Linked DNA regions of Lytechinus pictus. Each later gene encodes a partner of the first gene's protein in a complex. Links are inferred from orthologs where the notes say so. Each region holds a gene or a part of one and is shown on either strand. Other genes may lie near its edges. The genes, in order: U4/U6.U5 tri-snRNP-associated protein 1-like, U6 snRNA-associated Sm-like protein LSm5, U6 snRNA-associated Sm-like protein LSm2 and U6 snRNA-associated Sm-like protein LSm3.

The links.
Region 2: U4/U6.U5 tri-snRNP-associated protein 1-like (region 1) and U6 snRNA-associated Sm-like protein LSm5 share a complex: the UniProt entries of both Homo sapiens proteins name them as parts of the U4/U6-U5 tri-snRNP complex. The link is inferred for Lytechinus pictus from reciprocal best matches to the Homo sapiens genes SART1 and LSM5.
Region 3: U4/U6.U5 tri-snRNP-associated protein 1-like (region 1) and U6 snRNA-associated Sm-like protein LSm2 share a complex: the UniProt entries of both Homo sapiens proteins name them as parts of the U4/U6-U5 tri-snRNP complex. The link is inferred for Lytechinus pictus from reciprocal best matches to the Homo sapiens genes SART1 and LSM2.
Region 4: U4/U6.U5 tri-snRNP-associated protein 1-like (region 1) and U6 snRNA-associated Sm-like protein LSm3 share a complex: the UniProt entries of both Homo sapiens proteins name them as parts of the U4/U6-U5 tri-snRNP complex. The link is inferred for Lytechinus pictus from reciprocal best matches to the Homo sapiens genes SART1 and LSM3.

The regions. Positions count from the first base shown.
Region 1 is NC_087251.1:43,747,550-43,754,726, forward strand, and holds the start of U4/U6.U5 tri-snRNP-associated protein 1-like, read left to right. Parts: upstream 1-3,921; 5' UTR 3,922-4,112; coding exon 4,113-4,380; intron 4,381-7,177. UniProt on the Homo sapiens protein: Plays a role in mRNA splicing as a component of the U4/U6-U5 tri-snRNP, one of the building blocks of the spliceosome. May also bind to DNA.
Region 2 is NC_087245.1:27,095,713-27,103,780, reverse strand, and holds the start of U6 snRNA-associated Sm-like protein LSm5, read right to left. Parts: upstream 3,222-8,068; 5' UTR 3,103-3,221; coding exon 3,060-3,102; intron 1,114-3,059; coding exon 1,018-1,113; intron 442-1,017; coding exon 414-441; intron 1-413. Other genes in the region: tubulin delta chain-like, read left to right, coding at 5,458-5,546, 6,569-6,661. UniProt on the Homo sapiens protein: Plays a role in pre-mRNA splicing as component of the U4/U6-U5 tri-snRNP complex that is involved in spliceosome assembly, and as component of the precatalytic spliceosome (spliceosome B complex).
Region 3 is NC_087259.1:10,985,517-10,993,519, forward strand, and holds the start of U6 snRNA-associated Sm-like protein LSm2, read left to right. Parts: upstream 1-4,834; coding exon 4,835-4,852; intron 4,853-8,003. UniProt on the Homo sapiens protein: Plays a role in pre-mRNA splicing as component of the U4/U6-U5 tri-snRNP complex that is involved in spliceosome assembly, and as component of the precatalytic spliceosome (spliceosome B complex).
Region 4 is NC_087247.1:24,245,670-24,253,269, forward strand, and holds the start of U6 snRNA-associated Sm-like protein LSm3, read left to right. Parts: upstream 1-4,553; 5' UTR 4,554-4,815; coding exon 4,816-4,836; intron 4,837-7,600. Other genes in the region: DNA repair protein complementing XP-C cells homolog, read right to left, coding at 1-1,529. UniProt on the Homo sapiens protein: Plays a role in pre-mRNA splicing as component of the U4/U6-U5 tri-snRNP complex that is involved in spliceosome assembly, and as component of the precatalytic spliceosome (spliceosome B complex).

The DNA.
Region 1 (7,177 bases):
AATGGATTCTTAAACATGTTAAAGGACAAGTCCACTTCAACAAAAAGTTGACTTGAATAAAAGGAGAAAAATCCAACAAGCAAAACACTGAAAATTTCATCAAAATCGGATGTAAAATAATAAGAAAGTTATGACATTTTAAAGTTTCGCTAAATTTCATTAAACAGTTATATGCACATCCTAGTCGGTATGCAAATTGGCACACTGATGACGTCACCCACTCACTACTTCTTTTGTATTTTATTATAATTATGAAATATGAAAAATTCAAATTTTCTCCTCATTGCCATGTGAAACAAAATTATATTCCTCACTGAACATGTGGAATTACCATTATTGTAAAAGCGTATGGTTAAGTCAAGTTGGTCTTTATTGTCAAATCTGTAAAAATTGAAATATTGTATAATTCAAACAATAAAAGACAAAAGAAATAATTAGTGAAGGACATTATCGACTCTCTCATTTGCATATCGCTGAGTTGGGCATTTAACTGTTTTGTGAAAAATAAGCAAAATTCTAAAATGTCATAACTTTCTTATTTTACATCCGATTTCGATGAAATTTGCAGCGTCATGTTTGTTTGATTTGTCTCTATCGATATGATTTTGTACTCCTTGTACAGGCTTGTATACTGGAATAACCAAAATGGTTCTATATAAACGACTGTTTAGAACCCTTTCTGCTTCTTCGAAGAAAGCTTTAAAGGTCAAGTCCATCCCAGAAAATGTTAACTTGAATCAATAAAGACAAATTAAAAAAGCATGACGCTGCCAAAATTGGATGTTACTAAAAAGGTTGACATTTTAAAATTTCGCCTATCTTTCACAATATGCACAACTCAGTGTTTTTATGGAAATAAGAGAGTCGATGATGTCCCTCACTCACAATTTCTTTTTTTTTATTGTTTGAATTATACAATAAGTGTTTACAGATTTGACAATAGTGACCAACTTGACTGAACCACAAAGTGTTAAAACAATCATGGAAATTCCACGTGTTCAGGGAGGAATAAAGCTTTCTCATGACAGTTAAAGGAATATTAAATTATTCAATATTGCATAATAATGAAATTAAAAAAATAAAGAATAGTGACTAGGTATGGGATGTCATCAGTCCCCTATCCCGACCAGGATGTGCATATAATTGTTTTGAAATTAAGTGTCATAACTCTTTTATTGTACATACGATTTTGATGAAATTTTCAGTGTTATGCTTAAGTTTGATTTTGTTTCCTTTTATTCATATCAACTTTTTGTTGGGGTGGACTATACATATATTAGCAAATCAATGCAATAAATTCAAATTATAAACTAAACCAAATTTATCCAATGCAGCCGATGTTTAAAGGAAAATTAAATCTTTGAAACAAGATAGCTTGTGCGAATACAGAAGAATAAAAGAAAAGGTCAATAAAAATTTGAGAAAATTGAATAATTAATGCGAAAGTTATGATCATTTGAATATTTAGATCATTATTGTAATGTAGATCCTCCCATTAATAATGCGACAAAGATGTGTAATGTCACATGTGAACATTATCACATCTATCAGTAGATAATTTATTCTTTCAATAGAAGATTTTGAAAGGAATACATTGTAGATAAAGAGTTTGTATCACCATATGAAAGAGCAAAAAAGATAATTTGGGGGCATTTCATAGTCCATCAAAGGGAAAGTTGTTCACATGTGACATCATACATCTTTGTCGCATTGCCAATAAGAGGATCTCTATAGCATTAGTGATCGCAATATTCAAATTCTCATAAATTTCTCATTATTTTTCAGATATTTCTCAAAACTGAACAAAAAAATGAAATTACCACTGACAGACAGTATTATTAAAAATAGTGACGAAGTTATTATTCATTAAAAAGTACTATTCATTACTAAAAACTTCTGGGGCTAATGTTCCAGGCAGAGAATCTTTGGTAAAATGAAAAAAAAAGCAAAGATGGACACATTTCACGCCCCTCAAACAATTTCATTTTTTATGATCTTCCATTAGTAATAATAGATATACATTACATTGGTATCTCTATTTATGGCGACTAGCACTCAAAATACTTTCTAGGTCGGCATGGTTGGTGACAATGTATGCATTCATTGTAACCAACCATGCCGACCTAGAAAGCATACTGCTTGGAACGTTGGCCTTAATGGATATAGTGAAGGGAATAATATTTTTGGAATAAAGGAGAGACGAGGAGGAAAAGGGAAAGAGTTGAAGAGACAGAAAGGGGGAGGGGGTGGGGAGATAAAGGGGTGAAAATTAGAGAAAAGCGCGCAGATGGAAATACAGTGTAGATAAAGAGACAATGTGGGTGGGGGGGGGGGTGCGAGATTATGAGGAGAAGAGGGGGGAAAGAGACAGAAAGGGAGAGAGAGAGTCACATAATGAAATATGAGTACGATACAGGTTGTCTTTGACTAACAAAAATCTTAGTCTTTTTAACAAAAAATAAAATGAATAAAAGAATCCTTTGTTGCAAGGGCGTATAGGCTGGGGGTGCACACGCACCCTCTCGCTGAGGAGTTCAAACCGAAATTTGTACCCCTTCTGCTTTCAACAGCTGATTTTTTCAAACTTTAGTTCCACCTCTCCAAGATGTGCACCCAGCTACCACTTCAGTTCCACCTCACCGCTCACCGGGATGTGCACCCCCATGCTCAACCAGCCCTTGTGTTAGCAGAAATTATGCAATGCTATACCTACCCAAAAAAAATATCATTCAAATAAATCCACCTTAAAAATGATTTATAAAAAGAATATTCATTCCCTTTATATACTAATTAAAAAATAATCAAATAAATCATCATATCATAAAATAATCATATTGTAACTATATCCAGTCAGCAAAATCACATCACTCTTATCTGGAAAGTTCAATGGTTGCCACTCCCGGTTGCCACTAAATGAATCTTCAAAGTCCTTCTATTGGTCTCTCATTATTGTCAATATAACTTGCCCTAGTTATAATAAGTAATTGATTCATACCAACCATCAGTTTAAGAAAATGGGGGGGGGGGGCAGCTTCACTCAAGTGGGACAGAAATTGTGCGATTTACTTTCACATTATAGTTTGAAATCACAGGCACTGTCACGGGGAACCTAAAGATAATTATTTACCCATATAATCTCCCCCGAGAGGACTTATCATAAAATTAAAAAGTATTTGATCTGACCAGGGTATTTCCTTATTCGACCAAAGAAATCTCCATGATCTAACCAGGCTCATCAAAAAAATATTTTTTTTTACGTTTCTTACCCTTTTAAACATGCCCAAGTTAATGGTTTGATGAGCCTTGGAATTAATTCAGCCCTATGTCAGAGGGAAATTGTTGGGGGCACATTACATTACTAATCTTTCTGAATTAGATATTGAATCGAAACCGGCCCCGGCTAAAAAAATGAAAATAGCCCTAATTCACAATTTTATCGTTACCAGATTCAGTTATAATTCAATTCATAACATTAAAACACTGATTTATCCTGAATACAATACAATTAATAATCTGTCCTTTTCCATAAACAAATGAAAAGATAACTTAAAAAAAAACTTATATTAAATGTAAACAATTGACACAAATTTATGTAGATCTGCATGAGGAGGACCATCCGACCTTTCTGAATAAAAGAGATGGATTTGTCTACAAAATATATGGGAACTTGAGACACTGCACTTCAGGGCGAGGAACCATAGGCCTTTTGGGGCTATGCCCCCTAAAAAACGGTAAAGATAAAAAAACAACGAAAACTTGAAATAGGAAGGAGCGAGTAATTACGTTATATCTTTTAATTGTTTTAATGTCAAAATCTACCCCAAAATTAGATTTTTGTAGTTAAAAATATGACAATTTTTGTTCACTCGCTTCGCTCATATAATTTGAAACCTTTTAGGCCTAAAATTGACAACACTCGCCAAACCAAATCGAATCACAATCAGCAACCGGCCGAAAGTTTTCCGAAAGAGCGCCAGCTAGAGTCTAGTCTATAACGCTCGCTGAAAATATACGATTGGAAAACGCATTTCATTTTGCGAATAAATTCTCATCAACGTTTATATATCTAATTTCTTTGGATTTTCTGGTGTACTTTATCGATTTCATTCAACATGGGGTCGTCTAAAAAACACAAGGAAAAGGACAAGGATCGGGAAAGGAAACACAAGCATAAAGACCGTGATAAGGACCGAGATAGAGAGCGGAAACACCGGAGCAAACACAGCCACAAACACAGGGATAAGGACAGGGATCGTCGTGTCGTTGAGAAAGACGTCGAAGCCGGGGAAATTTCTTCACCAGAACAGAAAAATGACCGAAAACGCGGGAGGAGTCTTAGCCCATCCCACATAAAACTTGAGAAAGATGTTGAATTACAAGGTATCTTGACAATAATAGGCCTATTTTAGGTCAATCTTTCAAAATTGTGACAAACTTTTACATCACAAAAATGCACATATGGGACTGAACTTTAGCATATGATTTGCACCATCACCATGCACCAGCGAATATAATAGTAATAGTAATACCGGTATTCCTGAACAATTGCCATGACCATGCATGCCCATGTCATGATGAGACCTCTAAATTAAGGTTTTGATCATAAAGAAATACATTGTCATGACTCATGGATAAAGTAGACTTAACCAGTAGAGGCGCACGGCCAATATGGGAGACTCTCTCCAATAGCAATAGGGGAGACAATCTCCCACATTGGAGACTTGCTTTGCAAAAGGACAAAAGAAACAACACCAACAAAAGCATGATTTTTTCAACCAAAAATTTTGTCTCACTGAGGTCAGAAGCCCATTTGTTTTGTGTGTGATTGACAACAAAAATCCTTATCAAAACAAAAGTAGACGGTGAATTTTTAAAGTAGAAGGTGAAAAAGGGTAATTTTTCATGAGGAATCTCCTTATCACATTTTTATTTGCCGCCAAGGTAATCCTTTTGCAGCAAATGTAAACAAAGGAAATTGGTCGCCAAAACTGGAGACCGTCTCTGAAATTGGATACCCAAATTCTTTACAAAAGTCTCTGATATTGGAGATAATCTCCCACATTGGAGACAGTCTCCAATATTGGCCGTGCGCCTCTACTGTTAACTTCTTGACTTAAAGTACATAATGCATAACAAAGTCTCAAAAGACTCAATGCTCAAAATCAAAATTTTTTTTTTTTAATTCATCAGGTTTTTTTTGTACTAAAAATTTAAAAGTCTAACTTCTCTAACTCTAAGTAAAACAGAGACCAGAGTCAGAAATTTTTGATTGTCAGACTGAGAGGAGAAGAGAGGCCTTCCCCTTTTAAAAACGAAACCTGGAATTCCAGTGGAATTAACTCTAAAACTAAAAGTTCCTGGAATTTTACAAAATATCTCAGAATTTTACAAATGTTCTCCAGTCTTTCATAGATGTTATGTACTTCTTTTCTAAAGTATGCAAAAAAGATGAAATATAGGGCCCAGTGCTGTAATGAGTCAAAAATATTGAGGGGGCAAAATATGACCAAAGACGTATCGGGGAAAAGAATTGCTAGTGAAGCGAGTGAGCGAAAATTTTGACATTTTCATTACAAAGATCTAACTTTGAGATAGATTTTGACATAATGTTCAGAAAATAATATAATTCCTGGAAATGATAACTTCCCGAAATGATCTTGGAAAAGGGCAAAACTTCCCGGAATTTCCTGGATTACGGGAAGAGTGGAAGCCTTGAGGAAGGCTGACGTTAGAGCCTAAGTTAGGCTCAGCTCAGTCAGACTCAGTAAGATCCCTTAGAGCTTCGCAGAGGCTCATGGCATGGCCAATATTGGAATCAATTGGAAGATTTACTTCCATAATGGTGTACTAGTATTGATTCTTATTATATTGATTTTATTTGACCTTTATATTGGCTTAATTTGACAAATTGACCTTATTATATTGACTTTATTTGACTTTTATATTGACCAACGAACGTAGAGGGCAGCGACACAGCAGTGTTGCTTTTAGGAAGGTCCACTCGATACGCGCATACAATTGAAGTTTGCGAACAAGGCATGCCAACAAAACCATGCATCAACACAATACAATCTCGGATAAATAGCGAAATATAGACAAAAATGACAGATTATCACAAAAATACATTTAACTAATAGAAAAACAAAAGTATGGCAAGTTCCCTCAAGTCTGTGCACATGCGTACATGTATCTGCGCGATTCTAGTAAAAGAAGATATGCAAGGAACACAGACTTTACACATGCAATACATAGACAGATATTCATTGAAAAATCTGACTCAAATGGTGGGAAAATAATGAATTTAGGGCGTTTCATGTGACGACCTCAAAATGCAGCCTTTCTCATCAAAATCCCTGAATCGTGTGCAAAGTGAATGGGTGCGCAGACATGGGGTACCATTTTTTTTTTCAATCTGAAAATAACTGCCCGAGGTTTTTATATAAGAAATTCCTATATTTCTTTCAAATTTTTATGAGATATTTGTTACACTTACTCATAATAATATAAGGAACATTATTAAATGAAAGATTTTGTGAAATAAGAAGTTCATGTTAAATCTTAACTCAAATTGTTAGGTGCGCAGACTTTGGGACCACCATCGTATTAATCAAATTCGTTCAATCAATCTTGCCTTGGCGTTGCTAGTGTATTGGCCAGATTCGATCACTGCCTGATGGATTGCCAAGAGCTAGCCCGGATTTGTGGATACATGTACAGCATACTTATTTTTCATATTTTCAGACTCTTGATGGATTGCAAAGAGCTAGCCTGGATTTGTGGATATAACATACTTATTTCATATTTTCAGACTCCAATCTGCATTGAAAGTGAAAATTAAGATTCTAACCTTGAACATTCATCGTTGCTCAACTGCTTTAGTGCCACAACAATGACAGACCAAGTCCATGTCATTCAAGTCCATATGTAGCTAAGTCAAATCTACCAAAAAAGTGCACTGAGAGAAAACGGTCACAAAATCTTAGCCAAGAGGATCTTTCTAATACATGTAGCAACAATTCCGTGTGTTGCTGCCCTCTACGTCCGTTGATATTGATTTTATTTGACCTTTTTACATGTAAGTTGTAATGGGCTATATACAAACTTTTCAATCATTATTATTATTCATCTCTATAAATATTTATATTATTATATTAATATTGGCTCTAATTTTATCTTG
Region 2 (8,068 bases), on another chromosome or scaffold:
TAGATTTGTCAAAATTTGTCTTGTCAAAAATTCTCTAATCTAAATCTGAACTCACATTATCCACTATGGTTTCAAACTTTCAATACAGCAACATTTTTACAAATGTAAAGTATGGGTTATTGGGTATTTTGAAAACCTTGGTTCCCCCCCTGGAAGAGTTATTGGATATTAAATGACCTGTGACTTGTAAGACTAAACTTGTCAAAAGATACCATCATACCCCTTGTATCCATCTCTGGTACCCATTGAACCTGGTAAGAATGGTTTATTCTACAAAACCACTGTTGGTTAATGTCCTTGTTCTCCTTTAGAGATGTGAGGAATGAATGAAATGCGACATCACAATAATCATTTACAATACAGGCAGTTTCTTCAAATTGAATGCACAAAAGAAAGATATACCCAGTACTTACAATTCTACAACATCTTCAAGTACCATGTCTGTTGAGGAAGCATGGTGTCAAGGCTTAAACCAAATCATGGGAATCTACATTCTACACAACTTTAAAATATCACAATTCAGTGAATAGTAATCGAACAAAACAATGGTAGAAAATCAGCAGTACCAATAATAATATGATGATAATTATACGGTAATGAAAATGATGATACTACTACTACCACCACTTTTATGCAATAATAATACTTAGTAGTATTAGCAACAACAAACAAATTTAATAAGTAGAATAAATCGATAGTGACCGCATGGGCCAGTATCAAAGTAAAGACCTAAACTAAAGCTAACTGGCTGGAGTGTGAAGGCATTTTGAATCATGATATTGAAAATTACATTAACTACAGAAGGTTAATATTGATTCTTTAACTCACAAATTTACATGAAAATGTAATCAAAAGAGATCATTACTGTAGACTAGTTTATTATTACAACAAACATTTATTTTCCTCATTAGACTTTTTTTTTTCACTCCAACACAAGAATTCTATTCCCTTTTTTAAATGACATTTTAACCAATGATTTCTGTCACAAGTTGATTTATTAATATTCAACAAGGATACTGACAAAGTCATCAAAGCCAAGCAGAGTTCCAACAATCTCCTTGTCTGTCTTCATAACAATGTGAATCCGGGAGCCAATACATTTGTCAACAAGTTCTGAAAGATAAAATCAAAGAGCAAGAATATGATTTAGACCACAGAATCAGTCTCTTTATTGGCAGAGTTGTGTTCAAAATTTCAATCAGGCTGCCTCCAAAAAGAGGAGAAATCTTAATAGTAAATGTTTTAATACTCAACTCAATAGGTCTCTGGATTTGATCATTAAAGAAGAATGACAAGCTAGAACAGTCTAACCCATGATCCTTTCAATTTACTTCGTCAGAACAAAACACAATGTTTTATGACTGACATGTAGTTTTAGTTACAATATATTCAAATGCAACATGCAGAATCTTTTTCTTTTGGCATCAAATAGTTATAGGTTATTTAAACTAGTGCAACACATTTCTAAACTAAAGAAACTTATCAATAAGATTAAAATGTAACAACCAGTTAACGATAAACAAAACTATCAAGAAACATATCAATGAAACTCGAGAAGCAAATTAATAGAACTCTAAATAAGTTACAAGATTGTGACACACATAATGAAAAACTTCCCCATTTATAATTTTCATTTTTTGGGAGGACAATATTTCGGCAATGAAAAGTATAAGCTCAATCAAATCACTTTTCCTACTCGACCCCTAGGTCTGATATCTGACAAATTCAGTAGCGGCTGGGTTACCCACTTGCTATTTTCCAGTCAGTCCACTAAAAATAAACTCACGCACCCCACCCCTCTCAGCTTCAGGCTTGTCTTGACTACATCGGGGAGAGGAATTTTTTCTTTTTAGTCACTTTCTCATTCATCCTCCACTCTCGGCTCTAACAAGTTAGGCAGTATATTATAGACATGGTAGAGCTAGCATGGGCGTAAACTCCAGGGGGGACAGGGGGATGCATCCCCCCTACCAAAAATAGTAGGGGGACACAATATCAAATGTCCCCCCTACTATTTTTGGTCTTTCATGGAGAAAAATACATCATTCCCAATCGAAATAATACATATATTTTGGACTAAATGACCTCATACATTTTGGGTGAAAACCTCTTTTTTGCTTGTAATTTTTTTTTTAATGACCTTATATTTTGGGTGATTATTATTTTTTTGCTTGTCAAAGTTTCCAGCCCCTGTTCCCCCTACCTTTGGGGACAGATTTCTGCCCAAAGTGCCCATGAGAGATAGTAACTTTAGATACCGTCTGGCAGAAGGGATAGCTCGGTCTCAGAGTCAGAACAACTATCTTTGTGGCGGTAGCACTTTAATAGTAGGTTGGGAGTCACGTGTCCGGACACTTTATATTTTTGAAGACTTCTTTTTTGTCTTTGAGTTTGAGTCTGACTTTGGATTTAATACATTAAAATTATGAATTCAATAGTTTTAATCATCCTCTATTTTGTTCTCTATAATATTTCCTAACCAGAAGCGGATCTAGAGGGGGGGTTGGGGGGTTGCAACCCCCCCCCAAAAAAAAAAAAAAATCCGGGGACCATTTTTTAAAATCTTATCTTTTTTTTAAAACTTGTAATGCAAGAAAACGCCATTTTCACACACAGATTTTCAAAATTTTTCCCTACTGTGGGAGGGGGACACCCCCCTCCCACACCCTCGCTCGCTTGGACTCGGTCGCTACGCTCCCTCGCATACCACCCCAACCCCCCCCTTTATAAAAAGCTGGATCCGCCCCTGCTAACATCTTGTACTAAAATTTGATGAAACTTCGCTCGTGAATTTTTCCAAATGACTTTCTAAAATTGATCGTCCGGACGCACAACTTGTCCGGACATACAACAATGGTAGTGGTAGAGCCAAAAGTTCAAAACGGTATGCCGCGCGTGGCCTCCGTACTGCCAAGCCGTGCCGGCAGGCAACCGGGTCAGAGCGGGGAGTCAGCCGATGAGCTGAGCTGAGCAAAGCATGACCACGGGCATCTGAAGTTGCTCTTATTACGTTACTTAGTCTTAGATAACACCACGTTCATAGAAAACAAGGGTCTTACCAAGAGGTAAAAGGTGAGATGGGTTGGAAGTACCGGTAGTCATACTGTCGTGATTTTAATTTTATTTTGATCCACAACCCCGTCAAATCGTTGTCGTTCACCGATATGCGATAGCAACTTCCAGTCAACTCAATTTCCAGATTAATTTGTCTCTTAGAAGTCGTTGATGATGTTTTTCATTTTTTTCCCTTAAAGTTGTGTCGAAATGTCTTATAATTTAAAAAAATATGAAAAACATACCCTTTAATATTTTTTTATCCCTAAATAAAAATAATATTAAATCAATTTATGTTACTATACTTCCAATATTTTTTCTTATTGCTTCTGGCCCGTTTGGAATTCGATTTGCTTGGCCTATAGAGCGCCCTTGAATAAGTCTACGTTAGAAAAAACAAGACCACATTGCGAATTCGACCTTAATCAAAACTCAAGAAACTCCTGAGAAACGTTACCGTACTCCGCGCGGGATTCGATTGAAAGAAATCGTCGAGGAGAGATACATTTTGTCGACCAACTTTATTTTGATCTAACGTTAGGCCTACCGTTAGATGTCCCAGTTTTTAACAATAACTTTTTACAAGGGTCTTTTATTTTTTAGCTTAGCCCGCCTTGGCTTAGTTAGGCTTTATAGCTAAACCAAAGACAAGTTATCATCAGCTCACCAGCCCAGGTCGCAGTGCACTCAGGCTCAAGGTCTGGAGAGCTCTGCATGCCATTCGTCTTCTCCGCGTGTGATTGTCCCTTGTGAGTATGATCATTTTATGAAAATGCCCCAGGGGTCAGCTGATGGAAGGATTCTAATGATTCAATAGTGTATTTTAGCATCGAAGCTGAAGCTTTGCAGACACTTTCTACCAATCAATGGACATTAGTTGATTATTAGACTTTAGACTTAGTTAGACTAGAGGTCATTGTCAAAAGTTGGTGCACAAGTGCTGGATCTGGATTAAACTCTGGATAGCACACGATCAAATTTTGTAAAAATTGTAAATGTGTCGTTTGTCCAGACTTCTGTTTTGATTCACCGATTTTTGACAAAGGCTCCTTTGTTGAAAGGCTTTTGACAAATTATCAGCGATTTAGGACTAACGTTAGGCCAATAGAGAATTTAAAAAGTGTCTGTGAAGTGAATGCTAAAACGGTGCAAGACTTGAATTCTTAAAGAGTTTTAGCTTTGGAAACAGGAACTAACTTTAGTAAAAAGTAGCTTGAAAATGAACTTAGCCCAAGCATAGGAAATCTGTTGATGTCTGCCGTGACTGAAATAGGACTAGTATTGACCGGTGGACCCCCTTTAACTTTTACGTAAGATAAAATAATTGGACTTTTTTTTAACATGAATTTTAGACAAAGTTTGAGTTGATATTATTTGTCTCCGGTTGATTGTTCCCAAGTGTGCTAAAATCTCCAACCTATTCATTGTTTTACTGCTGTAGTATTTTTCATTACCAACCACCCTGGACTTGTCAGGCAGGTAAGGCTCAGCTAATATGGGTAATCTCATTCAGGAAGATCTCATTCAAGCAAAAAAAATAACATTTTATTTTTTAGGCTACTTTTCACTTGTAACCTACTGCCTATTAAAAATCTGCAATATTGGATGAGCTTTAAACAATTTTATGGAAATATGGGGATTTTGAGGGACTCCTTTCTTTTTAATTTTCCAGGGCTCCTTTGAGCGTTTCAAAGAATTTATATCTGCTTTCCAAAGCACTGTATTATCTGCTGAAACTGAGGATGATGAGTTGCCAAATAAGAAGTCGGCAGTTCTGCTCAATCAGAGTGTTGATGGGGATCAGGCCTGTGAGCAGGAACAGTGTTTTAGTGCACTTTATGGGATACCTGAGATTCTATTAGATTACTCAGAGCAGTGTTAACTGCATCATTAATGACAATCCACGATCACTGTTGGAGAATTGGATGAGGTAGTCTAATGCATAATCTTCCATGGAATAATCTCATGGACATGGGGGGCGGGGGGAGGGGTCAGGGGTTACTGCCCCACCTAAGATTTTTCAAGTAGTGAAATTAAAAACAAAAATTGTGTTTTACCTGATATGCATTTTTTTTTCATGAACCATGTTTCTGGGCTTGGATTCTTGGATCAAGTGTGGATGTGCAGGTTGCCTTTATTTCTGCCTAATCCAATGTCAAGATAGAGTCCACCACCAGGTAGATGTGTATATCAGTTTATCATGAAGTTTTACCTTCTGAAGGTTTCCATGGTGAAGAAAATACAAGAACACACTTGTTGAAACATTGAGTTTGGGTGGTTTTTTTTCAGGACCAACACATACCCGCAAAAGAATACTACGTGGTGTACTGTGAAGGTGTGAAACCATTACATTCTTATCATGATGTTGTTTTTTGTTTGTTTCAGTGCAATTAATTACCCAGGATGTCGACTGTGTTTCTTCATGTTGGCCAGTGTGGCAACCAACTTGGCCAACAGTTCTGGCAGCTTGTCCAACAGGATGATGAAGCAAAGTAAGACAATGCAATGGGTGATCCCAAGTTCGGTGTTGACCTTTGGGTGTTGGTGTTGGGTATTTTACATCTAGGCAGAGGTGGCAGAGCACCTGAATAAAAATGAAACTCGCCTTCGGATAATTCTCCCTATGTGTCGGGCTGTATGGTGGTTGTTTCATAGAGCTGTTCGTAACTTGCGAGCGGCTTTAGAATGACTTGGGACTCTTTTTAGGAACTAAGACAATGTTGGGTATCACTTACCACAATAAGAGGTCACCAGTCATTCGTAAAGTCACTTACAACTTACGAACCGCTTTATCAAGCACATACCAGTAATGTAATTGGATAAATGTTGGAGCTAGTGAAGGCAATCTGGCGCCTGTTCCATAAAGATTATCAACTATGGTAACTTTACAATTATGGCAACTACCCTCATAGAAACCTTGATAGTGATTGGCTTCTAAGCCTTGTTACCATGGTAGTTAGCTAGTTGCCATGATGACAAAGTACAACAGCTGTAAGTCATTTTAATAGGGAAAAGGGCCCCTGAATTGTGGTTCCAACATTAGCACTAAAACCAGCACAAACACTGATCTCGAAATCACCTAATGAAAACTTATTACCATCTTTAGTATTTAAGTCTACTTGAGGCTGATGTTTGCTGTGTATGTTGATCTTTTTTTTGGAAAAAATGTATTTCAGGATGAAGCCTAGTGTAAAACAAAACAAAACATTAACAATTAGGTTATCTTTAGTTGTATTTGATTGTAGTACTCTAAAAAAAGTAATTCCCAAATTGATTAGATCAAGGAAATAAAGCACAACATGTTACACAATTTGGCAGTAAATATTGTTTTTTTTTGCAAGTTTGACTACATTTAAACATCGATGGAAGCTTGAATGCAGACTGAATTGCCATTGATGTATTACAATCCCCATTGGTATAATTTTTTTTTTCGATCGTCATACTCACATTTAAGAAAACTATGTACATCACCAGTCTGTATTTTTTTTTGGTTGTCATTATCATTCATTTGCAGATGTACTTTTTACCGGAGAGATCAGAAGCTTCCCTCTCTTCATGTCGATACAGAAAAGAAAGTGATCGCTAAACTTTTGAGAAACAGTAAACAGTAAGTTTCATTTGTAAAAACATCCCAGTGTTAATGCTTTCACCTACTGAAGATAATCACCAGGAGGCACTCTGCCCGTATGTATGTCTATCCCAGCCTCATCTTCGCTTTTTTCATTCATTTTAAAGGACAAGGTTTTGAGGACAAATACCGTAAGTAACCGTCTATTAACCGCACCTTTTTCTCGGCGGGATAGAAGCAAAAGTCGGGGGTGCGGTTTATCCACGGTGACGGGTCTGAGCCAGCCCGTCGTAACCCCTCCCAAACAAAAGACATCTGCCAGTTCATAACACATCGAGTGGCCGGGCGTAGCCGCCCAGGGCAATGTCGTTTAGAGGGGTATGAGCCGCGGGTAATGAGAAGCGATTATAACAAACGCACCCACCTTCATGACACTAATTTTGACTTTATTCTCGGTTCAAAGCAGCGAAGTTCCCTGGCTAAGTTCAAAGAGAAGCCAAGCATACTCGGTAATATTTTGTCACAGCTGAGCTGAGCGAGCGCGCGAGAGTTGAGTTAGCTGAGCTCGAGCTAGCTTGCGTTGTATTGTGGTTACAGTGCGACTTAAGCTGGCGCTATTCATTTTAACCCTCGATCCCCTCCAAAGTCCCGTTTCGCGCCAGCTTATTTTTTCTTTCCTGTTTGCTTTTCATAAGATACCATGTACACCACGCAACGAGAGAGACGGCACAATGCAAATTTCTTTGTTTCTTGAACCTTCCTGTAATCCCGTATCCAAAGACATCGAATGCTAGACAAATTCTGAAAGTGATTGTGAGTTTGTGATGCAAGAAATGTGAATGTTTCTTCCTCCTACGGCGGGAAAGACACAGATCATTATTTGATAAGATGTACTGGTACCGTATCGTAGTTTGCAATGTACAAGAACGGCAGTGCTGTGTGTGTGTACACTGTGACTGTGAGGTGAGTGAGTGTGTAAGTGGCCAATATTGTCGGGACCTTGCAAACATTTGTAGATGAATTGATCAAGAAGAACAGCAGATTTCCGCATACCGGTAATCTCTTTGGATACTTTGAAATCTTTAACTTAGTTTTTGTTTCTCCGTACCTCAAATATAATGTGAGGATTTTTTTTATTTTTTTTATTTTTTAGTCCAAAGTTAGGGGTGCGGTTAATCCACGGGTGCGGTTTATAGTCCGTTGCTTACGGTACTGGCACTCATACGCACGTTTCAACTCAGTTTGAGAATTTTTTAAATCAGCTCCTCACAAAGCTAAACGATCCCTTTAATTTCACAAAACAGTTATATGCACATCATGGCTGGTATGCCAATGAGGAGACTATGACGTCATCCACTCTTTATTTCTTTTGTATTTTATTATATGCAATATGAAATATTCGTATTTTCTCCTCTTTGTCAAGTGATACAACGATTAATTCCTCCC
Region 3 (8,003 bases), on another chromosome or scaffold:
AAATAATGAATTTCGATTTTCGGCATTTCAAAATCTCATCAAAATCCTCAAATCGTGTGTAAAGTGATTGGTGCGCAGACACGAGGCGCTGGCCACTATCATAATGTTAAATCTGAAATTGAAAATCATAACTGGCTGAGTCTCAGATTTTTTCCAAGACCAAGAAAATCAGTTTCACATTCGATCACATATCTCTCTCATTTACTTACAACAATATATGGAACAATATCAACTGAAAGATTTTGTGAAATAAAAACAAAATTCATGTTAAATCTTAACACAAATCGTAAGGTCAATATGATGTATGTGCGCAGACTTGCACCGGCATGGCAGCCACACATCCACGCCCGGCTAGTCGCGGCCGGCAGGCAGCGCTGAGGGGCAGTAACAGGATGTCCTGACGAACTCTAACGTTACAGCTAGCCCCGCAGCTAGCTGCGAGCCGCGCCATTTAACAAACTACGAAAAGAAAATCATAGAAAATTGTTAACTTACCTGTAGAGCCTACTGCGAATGTCTTAGCTTTCAAGTCATTGTCCAAATCTGGTCCGTGTGATTTCAGTGGTTGAATTATTATTAAAACGGCCTTCTTTACCCTTCTTTATCGCACTAGCACTCGATAAAAGTGCGGTGCAAATTAACGGCGCGGCGAAGATGGCTCTTTCAAATTCAAATTAGATTGGCGGTTTGCGTTTGGCGCCTGGCGGCGCTGGTTAATTTGCATAATTATACGGACGATAGCGATCAGTGGCACTCAGTGCGCATGCGCAGGCCCGCCCGCGCCCGGTGATTGAAGGAATAACGAAGGGGGGGGGGGGGTCTAAAGCAAGAAAGAAGTTTTAAAATAGAAATACGAACTTCTTAACATACAAATTTCTTCTTGTTTGGTTTTGGTTGGCAACCAGTCAAGAAATGACGATTTTGCCTCTGCTTTTGCATGGAGCTTTTTTTTTCTTTGAAAGTTTAAGAATGAATTAGCTTAATATTTGTTCTTTATTTCTATTTTATTTATTTTCTTTTTATTTGAAAGATAAAGATAGCCTTGCTTAACATGGCAAGGTTGTAAACTAGCAATAAATATGCGCGTTATAAATAGAAAAAAATAGCTATTCTATTCACCTTCAAAAATATTTTTAAAATATCAGTGAGTTAAAAAAAGAAAAATACATTAATTTTTATGTGATTTGTAAAAATAGTGTAAAATAGTCCTCTTTAACTTAAATTAGAAAAAAGGGATTAAATAGGAAGAAATTTTTTTCTCGCAACAAATATCTAGGATAACAATTTTTTTAATGTAAACTAGAAAATTTCACTGAGAATAACATGTTTCGATTTAAGTTATATGGTGATATCGAACCACATACTTTAATGAAACTTTTCAAGGTGGAAATATTAAAATTAACATAAAGAATAATTAAGTTAGTTATTATGTAGATATTTTTTTCCTCTTATCCTCAATCGAGCTGTGTATAGGATGGATAAATGCATGGCATTTATTGTGGTAAAAGGCTGAATTACATGAATTTGTACAGAGCAAAATTTCAGTAAACAAATAAGCAACAAAAAAATAACAAAGTATACTAATGTATAATATTGGAAAGGGGATACAAAAAGAAAAGTATACAGGGAGGGGGGGGGGGAGTAATGTCAAAAGCAGGAATGGGCAAAGGTTGGGAGTAGGCTAAATGTACTATATACCTTTAACATAATGAACATTTTCACATAAATATATATTTAACCAATGTTGAATGAATAACAATACATGTAGATTAAAGAGTGGATTGTATGAAATAATACTTGCTTTTTTTTTAGAAAAGTAACGCTTTGTTGATGGTAACAATAATAATAGTTATAGGAAACACATTCATGAATGATAATCATAAAGAATTATCTCAAAAGGAATTAAAAACAAAGATAAGAGGACTTTGAAGTAATATGATCTGTACAAAAAATATAAATATTAATGTAAAGTGGGTTACAGCTATATTGAGCCAGTGACTTGTCGGATAAGAAATTTGAATGATTACTGCAGATATCAACAATTACAAAAATATTTCAAAAGTCAGTTTAAGAGAAGCGACAAATAAAACAACAAAGGTATGAAAACATAGTTCTTATATAATATATATATATATATATATATAAACTCTGTTGGAAATAAGTACAATGCATTACCACTATGCCTCTAATATACATATATATATATGTATATATTATATATGTATATACGGGTTCTTACTAGAATCAACTGGTAAGTCCTATTGGTTCTAACTGGTATCATTTGGTTTGATATTCCAGTATGGTTAATGGGTTTCAAGTGGGTTATGGGTGGCCTATGGGTTCCAACTGGTATAATCTGTTCCAGTTTGGTTTATGGGTTTTAACTGAAATCAGCTGGTAGATATATACTGGTAATGCCTATTGGTTCTAACTGGTATCAATTTATTGGTTTGATATTCCAGTATGGTAAATGGGTTTCAAGTGGGTTATGGGAGGTCTATGGGTTCCAACTGGTAAAATATGTCCCAGTTTAATTGATTTATGGGTTTTAACTGGAATCAACTGGTAGTATACCAGTAATGTATGTTGATTTTAACTGGTATCAATTGGTTTGATATTCCAGTATGGTTAATGGGTTTCAAGTGGGTTATGGGAGGTCTATGGGTTCCAACTGGTAAAATATGTTCCAGTTTGGTTTATGGGTTTTAACTGGAATCAACTGGTAGTATACCAGTAATGTATGCTGGTTTAACTGGTATCAATTGGTTTGAAATTCCAGTATGGTTAATGGGTTTCAAGTGGGTTATGGGAGGTCTATGGGTTCCAACTGGTATAATCTGCTTCAGTATGGTTTATGGCTTTTAACTGGAATCAGCTGGTAGATATGCCAGTAATGCCTATATTGGTTCTAACTGGTATCCATTGGTTTGATATTCCAGTATGGTTAATGGGTTTCAAGTGGGGTTATGGGAGGTCTATGGGTTCCAACTGGAACACTCTGATCCAGTTTGGTTTATGGGTTTTAACTGGAATCAACTGGTAGGTATACCAGTAATGCATGTTGGTTCTAACTGGTATCAATTGGTTTAATGATATACCAGTATGGTTTATGGGTTTAAGGTGGCATTAACTGGTATATACACCCATTGGGTTTCTATGGGTTCCAACTGGCATCAAATGGTCCAGTTTGGCTAATGGGTTTTAAACTGGAATCTATTGGTAGATAAACCAGAAAGGCCTATTGGTTTTAACTGGTATTAACTGGTGTACTAATTTATACCAGTATAGTTAATTGGTTTCAACTGGAATAAACTTGTATGTTTTCAGCATGTCCAGTTGGGACAATGGGTTTCAACTGGAATATACTGGCATGGTGGGAGTTTACCAGTTGTGCCAATTGGTTTCAACTGGTACCAGTTGACTCCAGTTGAAACCAGTTAAAATTTCAACTGGTTTCAACTGGTTTTTTTACCTGGGCGGACACTATTGTGATTCCGGACGCGCATATAAATGCGTTCGAAAACAATTTCGAACCGTAAGACTTCCGCAATTCATTTTCACAGATCAATACATAGAACAAGATTGCAAAAACAAGGCGAAAAAAATCAAATTTCTACCTTATTTATCTCTAAAATGACAGAAAATGCTTAAAATATCATATAACATAGTTTTGCATTAACAATTGAATGAATTGATATATTTTCTAACGGAAATATGGGCCTGATTTGCCTAATTTCAATCTCGTCGGCTCCTTCGATCGAATGATGATCAGGTGAGGTGTATTGTGGGTGATCGTCGACGGCTAGTTCTCAAGGTACCGTGCGCGAGGTTTACCGTGAGTAGAGCCGTCGACGATCGGCTGCGCATCGATAAAACTTGATGAGCGTCACGATACGAACGAGCACTGGAAAGTGCCATGAAACATGCAGCTAACCAAAAAATAAAAAATAAATTAAGTTATCAAACACGAATTTATTACCAACATCTGCTCAGATTCGATATAAAAAAAGCAAACAAAAAGTTAGAATTTATTCATGATATGATATAAGAAGAAATAAATCACTGAAATTTATTCTCACATCATTATAATCAAGGATATCTTTACCCGTCCGGAGCGCGTCCGGAATCATGATGTAATTTGTCGCGCACGAAAATAATAGTTTTTCGTGGAGGGGTATGCGGCAAGTGCGATGCAAAGAAAATGGTTCGTAAATATAAAATAATTTTCATTATATTTGGAATAGCAAGTGCGAATTTTTCTTGATTGTATTTTCTCTAGTTGTCATTTTTAAAGCACTGAAATAAAGGTGTCCGGCAATAGGATACACTACCATACATGGGTAAAAATATTGGTTGGCAACGTTTGGCAAAAAATAAGTGTTGATGGATTTGAAATGACGAATAAATTAATATGAATAAGAAAAGTAGAAGAGAGTTCACTTACACTTGTTGACATCGCCATCTTTGATCCTTTTAATTGCAACCTAGTTACGTGACGCGTATAGAGGGCGGCAAAATCATGAGCGGTGCTAGATTAAAAAGTGCTAAAATGTCCCGCTTCAACCACTGAACTAGAAATACATAGAGAAAACATATTGCATTTTGCCTTCTACGGCGCGGCGCGTTCTCGAACAATTGACCTAGCAAAATGGCGGCGGTCATGTGACTTATCGAGTTCGCCAGCGATGTTTTGCTTGGGTGTACACGGCTTCCACGTATTTCTAGTTCAGTGGTTGAAGCGGGACATTTTAGCACTTTTTAATCTAGCAACGCTCATGATTTTGCCGCCCTCTATACGCGTCACGTAACTAGGTTGCAATTAAAAGGATCAAAGATGGCGATGTCAACAAGTGTAAGTGAACTCTCTTCTACTTTTCTTATTCATATTAATTTATTCGTCATTTCAAATCCATGAACACTTATTTTTTGCCAAACGTTGCCAACCAATATTTTTACCCATGTACATAAGTTTTAAAGCTAGAATCTAAACATAACTAGCAGTTTGGCGCATTTCTATAGTTGCATTTTCCCTCGGTGTGTAGGATAGTATAGGACACAGTGCCAGGCGTTAGGGGAGTGACCATACGTACAGTATAAGTCTTTCACTCCCCAGACGCCTCCAGGCTATCCAGGACCAGGTCCAGGAGTCCAGCTAGAGACGACGAGATGAGCGATACGTAGGAACGTCCTAGGACCATTCTTCCGAGATAGGAAGATTGAAGACAAATCAGCGCTTTCCGTTTCACGAAGGCAATTTTGTCTTCCAAGTCCGCGACATCGTTTGATATCGATAGTATTCGGAATCGGAGTCTTCATCGTCACCTGAACTTGAACTTTGTCTGAACCTTTTATTTCGGAATGGCGACTTTTCATAAAATCATATATTTTAATAAAAGGAGATCAAATAATGTTTTAGTTATTACTGATTGTAGAATCGATGTATGGAGCTTACTTTATGAGGTAAAAAGAGAAAAAACTTTCAAGATTCACAAACATAACTAACTGGATAAAATCGAAATCATTATTTCCCTTATTTAGAACACGGTGTCCATTTAGAGACACCTTTCATTGATATTTCAATGAAAGAGACCCTTGTCCGACCTAAAAATTGATTTAACTAAGTAATTTCGACATTTTATTAGTCAGGGCTCCACACTAACCCTTTTTTTCTACTGGTCCAACCTATTCATGTCGGACCAGTAGATACCCAGTTTTTCAATTTTTTACTGGTCCGAACCTAAAATCTACTGGTCCCAAAAAATAAAGAAAACATTAAAAAAAGGCGTGAGTTTATTTTGCTGTCCTTTCTTGTTACCCCCCCCCCAAAAAAAAAAATGAAGGAATGAATGAATGAAAGACAAAAAGAAAGAAAGGAAGAAAGAATAAAAGAAAGGAAGGAAGGAAGAAAAAAGCAAAGGTAAAGAAAGGATAGATGTGAAGGAAGGAAAAAAAGAAAGAAAGAAGGAAAGGAAGGAAAGAAAGAACAAAAATAAAGAAAGAACGAAAGAAAAAAAGGAAGGAAAGAAAGAAAGAAAGAAAGAAAAAAAAAAGAAGGAAAGAAATATGCAAGCAATAAAGAAAGAAAAAATAAAAGACAGAAAGTAATGAAAGAAGGAAAGAAGCAATAAAACAAGAAAGAAAGGGTAAAAGGAGAGATGGAAAGAAGGAAAAAAGGAAGAATAAAAGAAACGAAGGAAGAAAAAAGTAAAGAAAAAATGTGAAGGAAGGAAAAAAAAACCAAAGAAGGAAAGGAAGGAAAGAAAGAACAAAAGAAAAAAAGAATGAAGGAAAGAAGGAAAGAAATGAAGCAAGCAATATAGAAAGAAAGAACAAAAGACAAAGTAATGAAAGAAAGAAGGAAAGAAGGAATAAAAAAAGAAAGAAAGGGTAAAAGGAGAGATGGAAAGAAGGAAAACAGAAAGAAAGGATTGAAAGAAGGAAGAAATCAAGAAAAGGGAAAATGATAGAAGGAAAAAGGAATGTTGGGAAGGAATAAAGAAGGAAGGAAGCAAGCAAGCAATATATAAAAAAAAAAAAAAAAAAGTAAAAGAATAAATGCAAGGAAGAACAAAAAAGAAAGACCAAACTTCAAAGAAAGAAAGGAAAGGAAGCAAGCAGTAAATAAAAGGAAGAAAGAAAAGGTAAAAGGATAGATGGAACAAAGGGGAAAAAGAAAGAACAAAAGACAAAGAAGAAAGGAAGGAATGAAAGAGAAAGGGCTGAAAGAAGGAATAAAAACAAGAAAGGGTAAAGAAAGGATGGATGGAATGAGGAAAGAAAGTTAGTAACAAAGAATGAAGGAAAGAAAGGGGAAAAGAAGGAAGGAAATGAAGAAAGAAAGAAGAGATAAATATAGGATGGATGGACTCAAGAATTAAAGAAAGAAGGAAATCAAAAAAGAAAGAAAAAGAAAGAGCATTAGAAATAGAGAAAAATATTAACAGGACAGAAAGAAAGAAAGAACAAAAGACAAAGAAAAAGGGAAAATTAAAAAAGAAAGACAGTAAAAGAAGAGAGGGAAGAAACAAAGAAAGATTGAAAAGAAAGAAGGAAAGAAAGATTGAAAGAAAACAAAGGAAGAAAGCTAAAACTATCATCATAAATAAATTATCAGTTTCTTTTTGGCTCAATTAAAATATACTAGTACTAGCTACGAAAGAAACCAAGTGGATCAACACACACACAAATGCATATGTGGGGCTATCATGTATTCAGACGATATCACTCGAAACCCGATCTCTTTGAACTAAAACAGAAGTGAAAATTTCTCCTTTTACTGCTTACAAATGACAGAGTTACCCCAATTTTGGCAAATTTTTAGGAAATATGGACATTATAAGAGCTTTTCATTAGTGTGAAATGTGAATTTTGACAGTTCTGTGAGAGATATCTGCCAGAGGTTAGCCAAGCTTCGTTCGTGCAGCCAGTAGGAAATTTACCATGTGGGCTGTGTGGCTGGCTAGCCACGTGTACACTGTATGTTACCCTATCAAAAATTGCATGCGATTCATTCTGTGTGTGTTCTGTGTGTGAATGCCAGAATTTAACGGGAGGAAAATGGTTCGCAATTTGAGTCAATTTAAGTTGGACTAGGGAATTTGACCATTTCTGAAAAAGTTACTGGCCCAACAATAGTTTTTATTACTGTTTATGTCGGACCCATAAATCTTGCTATTTTTGGAAAAATTACTGGCCCGACAATGATATTTTTTACTGGTCATGTCGGACCAGTAAATCTTGCTATTTCTGAAAATCTACTGGTCCGACAGTGATTTTTACCGGTCTGGGACCGTCGGACCGGCGCTAGTGTCGAGCCCTGTATTAGTTCAATATTCTGTATTTTTATAGAATACTAAATATATAATGATAAATTTGCAAATTATGCGTTAATATGTTATTTGTTGAGGTAAAAATAGGGTTTGAATGGTGTAAACAAAATCAACAGTGTCTGATTGTATGAGACTAAAAAGGAAAATATGAGAGGCTGCGTGTGAAAAATCTAA
Region 4 (7,600 bases), on another chromosome or scaffold:
GTACAACCATTTTTCACATCAGGATGACTTCCCTTAAAGCCCCCTTTTCTGCTTTCAAGCATTACAACTGGTTTCTTTGCTGTAATTCTTTCAAGCATTACAACTGGTTTCTTTGCTGTATTAGAATAGCTTTTTGTGTGATCGTCTTTCTTTGAAGAAGCGGATTTAACATCTTTCTTGGTCTGCTTCTCATTTTTCTTTTCTTCACTGGAGGCTTGCTTAACTTTGGCAATCCTCTTCTTCGGCTGCTTCTTTGCTTTCTCAGGAGGACTTTCTTCAAAATCACTTTCATCTTTTTCCAAAATGTCACTTTCATTGAAGGTAGTAGACTTGACCACAGACCTTGCATCACTTACATGTAGCTTTCTCTTCCTCAGGTTTTTAATTTTTGAAAGGTGTTTCGAATCAGGACTGCTACACTCATCAAAATAATCTGATGTAACCACTGGTGATGTTACCACTGGTTTTGCAACAGTCTTTTTTCGAGGTGTTAATTCCCCATGATCGCTTTCTATATCAACATCATCGAAATACTGTGATGTTATCACTGGTTTTACATCAGCCTCTTTTTCCTGAGGTGAGACTTCCTCATGAGCACCTCCTGGCTCATCATCTTCAAAATACTGTGATCTAATCACTGATTTCACATTCGTCTTTTCTACCTGAGGGATTAATTCCTTTTGATTATTTTCCACCTCTACATCATCAAACAAGGATTGATTGTTCCCTGGTTGAGAGCCCTGGAAATCTGGTATATCATCTAAATCATCAAACATTGACTTCGTTGTAGGCTGAGAAGGTATTACAAGAGAAGAGTCAGTCCCATCTGTTTTCATCTCCTTCAATTTTGATTTTTGAGATGTGGCACTTATAATTTCAGATTTATCAGGGATTGTCTTTAATGACGAAGGTTTTGATTCACCCAAATCTGATTCATCTTCTGAAGAAGAACCACTGTCACTTAATGAAAGAAACTGTTCTTGTGAAGCTTGGCAGACGTACCTTTCCTCAAAGATTTTCTCACTTTGTCTAACAGGAACTACTTTACGTTCCTTAGTTACTTGTTTGCTTTTATCTTTGGATTTCATTTTTCCATGATTTTTCTGCCTTGTATTTGATGTTCTCTTCTGCAATGGAGGTGTCGCTTCAAAGTCATCTTCATCTTCTTCATCATTATATTCTGAATCCAAACTAACGTAATCATCATCTTCTGATTCATTCTCCTCAATGCCTTCTGTTCTCTTTACATCTTCCTGCATAGTTGACATTTTCTTGACAGCTTGTAATTTTGCACTCCTACCTCTCCTTGGTCCATTCTGACTGATTTCAACAGGTGCTACCCTTTCATCCTGGCTTAAAGTGTTCTGACTGTCTTTAACCTTTGACCTCTCTTTGACCTTTGTATCTTTTTCATTTGTTTTTACTTGACTCTTGACTTGACCTCTGACCTTTAGATTAGGCTCAGTGTTTGTTTTCCTGCTGAGTTCACTGGATGTCTTCACTGGACCAGATGACTTGCGTTTGGCCATGGTGCTCTTAAGAGAACAGCTGTTCAGGTCTAAAGATCAAGAAAGGAGACACACTAAAATTGTTCAAAGATAGGATAGATAAGTTTTAACAATAAACTTCAAGCAACAATTAAATAAAGTGATTTTTCAGAGTATAAGTAGACTAAAATTCCAATAGCTCTCTGAAGTTTTGTTAAAAATAAAATTCCCATATAATGGTTGGTCAACTATTCTGGTTTACTACATTATATATACAAACTTAGCTTCAGTCTCTGTTTCGCTGGTTGGTCCTTTGGATTAAACTTGCTTCATTCTTCACTACACCTCATTTAAGTAAAAAAAGTACAAAAATGTTTTTTAAACATTTTGAAATTGTCTGACATCCACGCCCGCACTGTACTTGTTAGACTTTTAATCATGCATCAAGTGTTTACGACCGGGAGACTACCTACCCTCCCGTACAGATGATGATGATGAAAACTCCTCCCTCCAGACAGATATTGGATTTCAGCTGTCTAGCATATCTCATGTACATACTAATTCCAATTAGTAGTGGGCTATACATGGGTCAAAAATACTTTTTTTGTAATTTCAATATGGCAACAGTTTTTTTTTAGTCCTTGTAATGTATCTCAACATGAAATGACAATATTTTTTGTCTCGGGTCCAAGAAAAGTGTGCCGGGCCAAAATCCCAAATGGCCGCCAAAACCCCCCAAAATCACAGTTTTGGCCACAACTTCTTTATTTGGTGGTCTTTTTATCTGGTTTTGGTGTCTATTCATATGTTTTTGGGGGCAGGCAATTTGATTTTCCTATAAATAGTACTTATAAGCCATTATTTGTAGAGTTAAAAGGTAATTATACCTAAATTTTCCCATTTTTATAGCATTTTTTTCAGCCAAAAAGTAGGTTTTATCGTCTTGGGGTTCTTGGATATTAGATAGTACGAGGTCAACAATAGCAAGCAGCTTTATAGAGCTATACTGCTTTTATTCCTTTACTTTGAGTTTTACGGATATTTGTGAAATATATCTTATTAAATAAAAAATGTCAATTATCCATAGGGGCTATACAGTAGACAATGTACTGTACATACTGCACTGCATAAATGCATTGGCCACCATGACAAGGCCTGTATAAACTATAGTGTCATAGAAATGAGCTCTTAGGTTTAGAATTAGATGCCTCAGAAATTGAAGATATGTTTTGTCTCAGAAATTGAGGACATGTTTGATCAAATGCTAATTCAGGGGGCGGAGAAAGGTAATTAACCCCACATCATGGCATTTACACTGTAGCTATTCTGGGCCCCATGCATAAAAATTTACAATTATGTTAACTTAACTTAATGGTAACTTGCATGGAATCCTTGATTCTGATTGGCTGTTGATCAGCATTACCATGATAGTTACCTGACCCCATAAACATAGGCCAGTTAGACACCACAACCAGGTTTAAAAAAAGCCTCCAAATGAAGAAGATATGGCTAAAAATGTGATGTACATATATCATGTATATGATATATTTATGTGCAATTTACGTTGCTGGTTTCATCATGTACATCAGCTGACAAGCAATCAAATTCACAATTCACAATCTAATTTTAAACCTTAGGAGCTCATTTCTATGACTATAGTTTATATACAGGCCTTGTCATATGTCATGGTGGTCAATGCATGGATATATGCAGTGTAGTATGCACAGTGCATTGTATACCATATACCCCCTATATATATATATATACATGTATATAGCCTATGGATAAATGACATTTTCTTTTATTTGATAAGATAGGCTATATTTCGCAAATATCCATAAACCCCAATTTAGAGGAATAAAAGCAATATAGCTATATAAGCTGCCTGCTACTGTTCAACTGGTATCGTATAATATCCAAGAACCATTTTGGAATTTGGCCCGGCACACTTTCTTGGACCCGAGACCAAAAATATTGTCATTTCATGTTCAGATAAGGTAAAAGGAACACAAAAAAACTGTTGCCACAGTAAAAACAAAAATCATCCATTTATAGCCCACTCCTATTCCAATGTGAAGACTGCATGCTCATATGTTTTATTTTCATGTTACTCAGAAATCAATCATTGACGTTTACTGCAATTTACAAGTACGCTCATTACATAGGAAGCCGAACGCACGCATGAAAAATAAGTAAATACTAAAAACTTGTAAAGGTTTATGATGTCAATTAACGGACACATGCATCCTGCAAGCATGCACACTTTATAATTTATATCGCTTGCGCTCAAAACAAACACACATTTTATCGGTTGCACTGGCAGTACTTTTTATATACACAGGGGGATTTGGGAAAGACAGCACTGCACTGCCGGCCCCGGGCTGCAGCTATCATGGCTCTGGTTTTTGTTAGCAAGTTAGTCTAGATCTACCTGTGTCAGTGTAACATAACATGGTAACGTTAGATTATTAAATCCTGATATTGTCTTGATGTTGTTAATGTTATTATACCTTTTTTTCATTTAATCATGTTGTTAATGGAGTTCAATGGACTCGAGTCTAACTAAACTTAATTAAAGACTAAAGTAATATAATAATTATACTTAGAATAGATAAACTAAATTCAAACTAGTGCCGTACCCTGTCTGAACTAAAACTAAAAGTCTTAAATTAGTTAAATGAAAAGTCATGACATGAAATTGAAAGTCTGATTCTATTACTTGTCTAATTTTCTAACCCCTGGCCCATTATATCATAACCTTGTTCATTGAATGAGTGCCCTGGCCCTGGTTTTAACCGTTAATCATGTTAATCCTTCCTTTTAGTTTTAAACTTACCGTCATGTACCGTTCTCGATCTTGATGCTTAGTTTTATTTTCAGCTGTTTTCACTAAAAATTTAGCTTTAAGTGGCAGGAAAACCTCTGAATATTGGCCTTGGAATTGGTGTAATTTTGTCAGTTGGACTTTGCACGCGATGAGAGCGCGAGTGGTGTTGAATCCCCCGTGCCGTGGCGTGGTGTTCTATGACTATGATTGTGTAAACAACGAGCATGTGGTGTTGTTGTTGCATAATTCATTTTGCTAGTCTTGTGGAATTCTCTCCTGGTCATTTCAAAGTTAATAGACAACCATTATCATTATCAATTACCATAAAATTAACAATTGAATCAATATCTATGATAAAGTTTAATAGATAAAAAATATTGAATTCCTTCTTTGCTTTTCTTTTTAAAATTTGGTGATCCAAATGAAATATTTTCCAAAAGAAAGAGGTTTGCCTTGGAGTAGATCTAAGCCTGAGCTGAGGTCAACGCGCGTGGAGCAACTATGGCGGAAGAATCTGAAGTTGTGAGTATTAGAAGTATAATTAATTAATTTATTTATTTATTTGAGTGGATAAATGTTATATCGGTTGTGATTATATTAGTGCCGGCGTTTGAGTGTCAAGTTTTGATGTTCGACGCGGATGCGGACTTGACTAATAGACTTGCGTCGAAAAGTGGCAGTACTGTATATCATTACCAGTACGAGCGCATGCGATTCTTATGCACACGTAGTCCAATTGGGATTATCACGGTTTTGTGAAATTGTATTTCGAATAGCACAGGAGATAAATCCCGGGGTAGGCCTACCGCAGATTAGTTGTTCGACAGTGCGAGATGAGTTTTTTTTTTTATTTATTTCATGTGTTTGCTGGTGATTGACAGAAGATGTCTCTGAGTGGGCTGAATTTCCTTTTGGATGAAGTTACATGTATTTTTGAGACAGTTGAATAAAATTGAGTTGAGCTGCATGCTGAGCTGAGTTGAGATGAAAATGAACTTTGTTTTGATTTTGAAAATTAAGTTTATTTTTTTAAATATTAATATTTAAAATAACGTTATTAACGTTAACTAAAGGCAAGTTTAATGCTCCCTACCACTTTTTGAAAAAAAAAAATGATTTCCTCTATCAGTTTTTTTTCTCGGACTCGGGGGCTCCATTTTCATTAAAAAAAAAAATTTCAGGGGCTCCATTACCATATTTGCCTTTCGGGGGCTACTTTTTTCATTTCGGGGGCTCCACTTTTTTTAAATATGTTGTATGTATTGTGCTACCCAGGACAATTCACCTATCCTGCTTGTTTACAAATTAATTTAATGTTTAACAATAACATTGTTTATTTAATTGAATTATGTTTCTTCATTGTTATTAATTGTTAAATGATTATTTAATTTCTTGTTGTTCATTTAGATCTAATGTTTATTTTTATATCTTGTGTATTCATATAAATGTACCTTCTAGTTCTAAAGTTTACAATTTTGTCCATCAAATTGAATAGGATGAAGTTCATCAAATTTTGAACAGAATTTGTACTTCGAGTAATCGTTTTCATAAATTTTAATTTATTTGATAAAAACTCATTGAAAATTATTTTATGAAATATAGAATGCAGCGCAGCCTCACAGCTAATGTCAACATACCAACTTATTTCACAAGCTAAGCTACACCAGTGCAGCGCAGCCACTGAACACAGCACAGCTCACAGTCAATCATCACCGCATATGTGCCAATAATACGGTACATGTATACTCAGGCACTGACTGTTACTCACCAAAAATCCCTGCTGAAAATCCTAATTTCGGAATCCACGGCATATTTCCAGAGCACCTGAAAGCTTAGTTCAGATTTAAGAACTGGGGTCGCTGAAAATTACGCTAAAATTAAAAAAAAAACTGATTTTGTTCAGAGTTCACGATCTTATTTTCTTGTAAATTTAGGATGTTACCTTCAAAATGCAATAAAAAGAAAATTTTCACTATCATAGTTACGGAAGGACCTCGTGCGTTCCAGCCGGCTTAGGCCGGGGACGCTAAGCTAGCAGCGCAGCATGCGGGCCTAACCAGTATATCACTCGGCAATTATTTCGGGGGCAACTTCCAGATTTTATGCCGCCCCCGAAAGCATGATTTTGGGTGCTTTCGGGGGTGACTTTAGGCATTACCAGGGCGAATTTGCCTGCCGCCCCCGTGTGTTTTTTTCCCTGTGACAAAAAGTTATGTGTAAAAAAAATGAAAATAAAAGTAAATAGCAGAAATCAGTTATCAAGAACCATCAAAAATGGAAATTTACGCATTACATAGCATAAGGGGCAGCTGCTCATATATGATGTCACAAATCAAAAACTTTTCAGTTTTGTAAATTTCTTAATCTTCAATCAGTTCAATGATGGATTTTTCTCACACCTTCACCAACATTTTTTTTTATTTCATGAAGGCATGTGATACAGAACAACAGTAGTGGAAACTGACTGAGAAAGATCAATAGAAAATAAGCCAAATATTGCCACATTCTCAAAGCTTAATGGGTACATGTACTCCGGGCTGAAAATGAATATATTTAAATAAATAGAGCAAAATTTCATCAAAATCTGATAAAAAATAAAAAATGATTGATTTTAAAGTTTGGTAATATTTTTTAAAAAACAATGTGTACTTTGTCATGATTATTCATTAGGTGGGCTTTCCTTTAAAAAAAAAAATCTTATTTCATGAAATCATAATTACCGGTATTTAATATGTTCATACCTGTGTGAATGATAAGAAAAAAAGTTGCAGCAATGAATATCTAATGCATTAATCCTAACTAGGCCGGGCTTTTATGGCTGTTCTGTGGCGGGGGGGGGGGGGGGGGGTGATTCAACCCCCCCCCCCCCTGAGATCTCGGCCGCCGATCGCGCGAGCGCCACAAAAATTTGCACGCTGGTAGTGTGCGATGTAATCTACAAGGCTGTATGGTAAAATTTTCCAAAATAATGAGATTTTATTTTATATGAATTAATTATGCTTATTTATGCATAAATCATACTTTTTGCTCTAATTCACTAAATAAAACTCCTAGAATGCTAATTTTTGGTAAAAATATTCTTTGTAGCATTCTTAACAATGGCAATTGAAAAAAACTTTGGTTTGGAAATCAATTTCTTATGTATTTTATTGTTTTATGAATTTCTTATGTATTTCTTTGTTTTTCAACCTTTTGTTTTTCTTTGTTTTTTTTCCACCAGATTATTGCACAACCTTTTTGAAGCATAATTATGCTAAAATCAATTGCTTTCAGCTGTTTAAAGTAA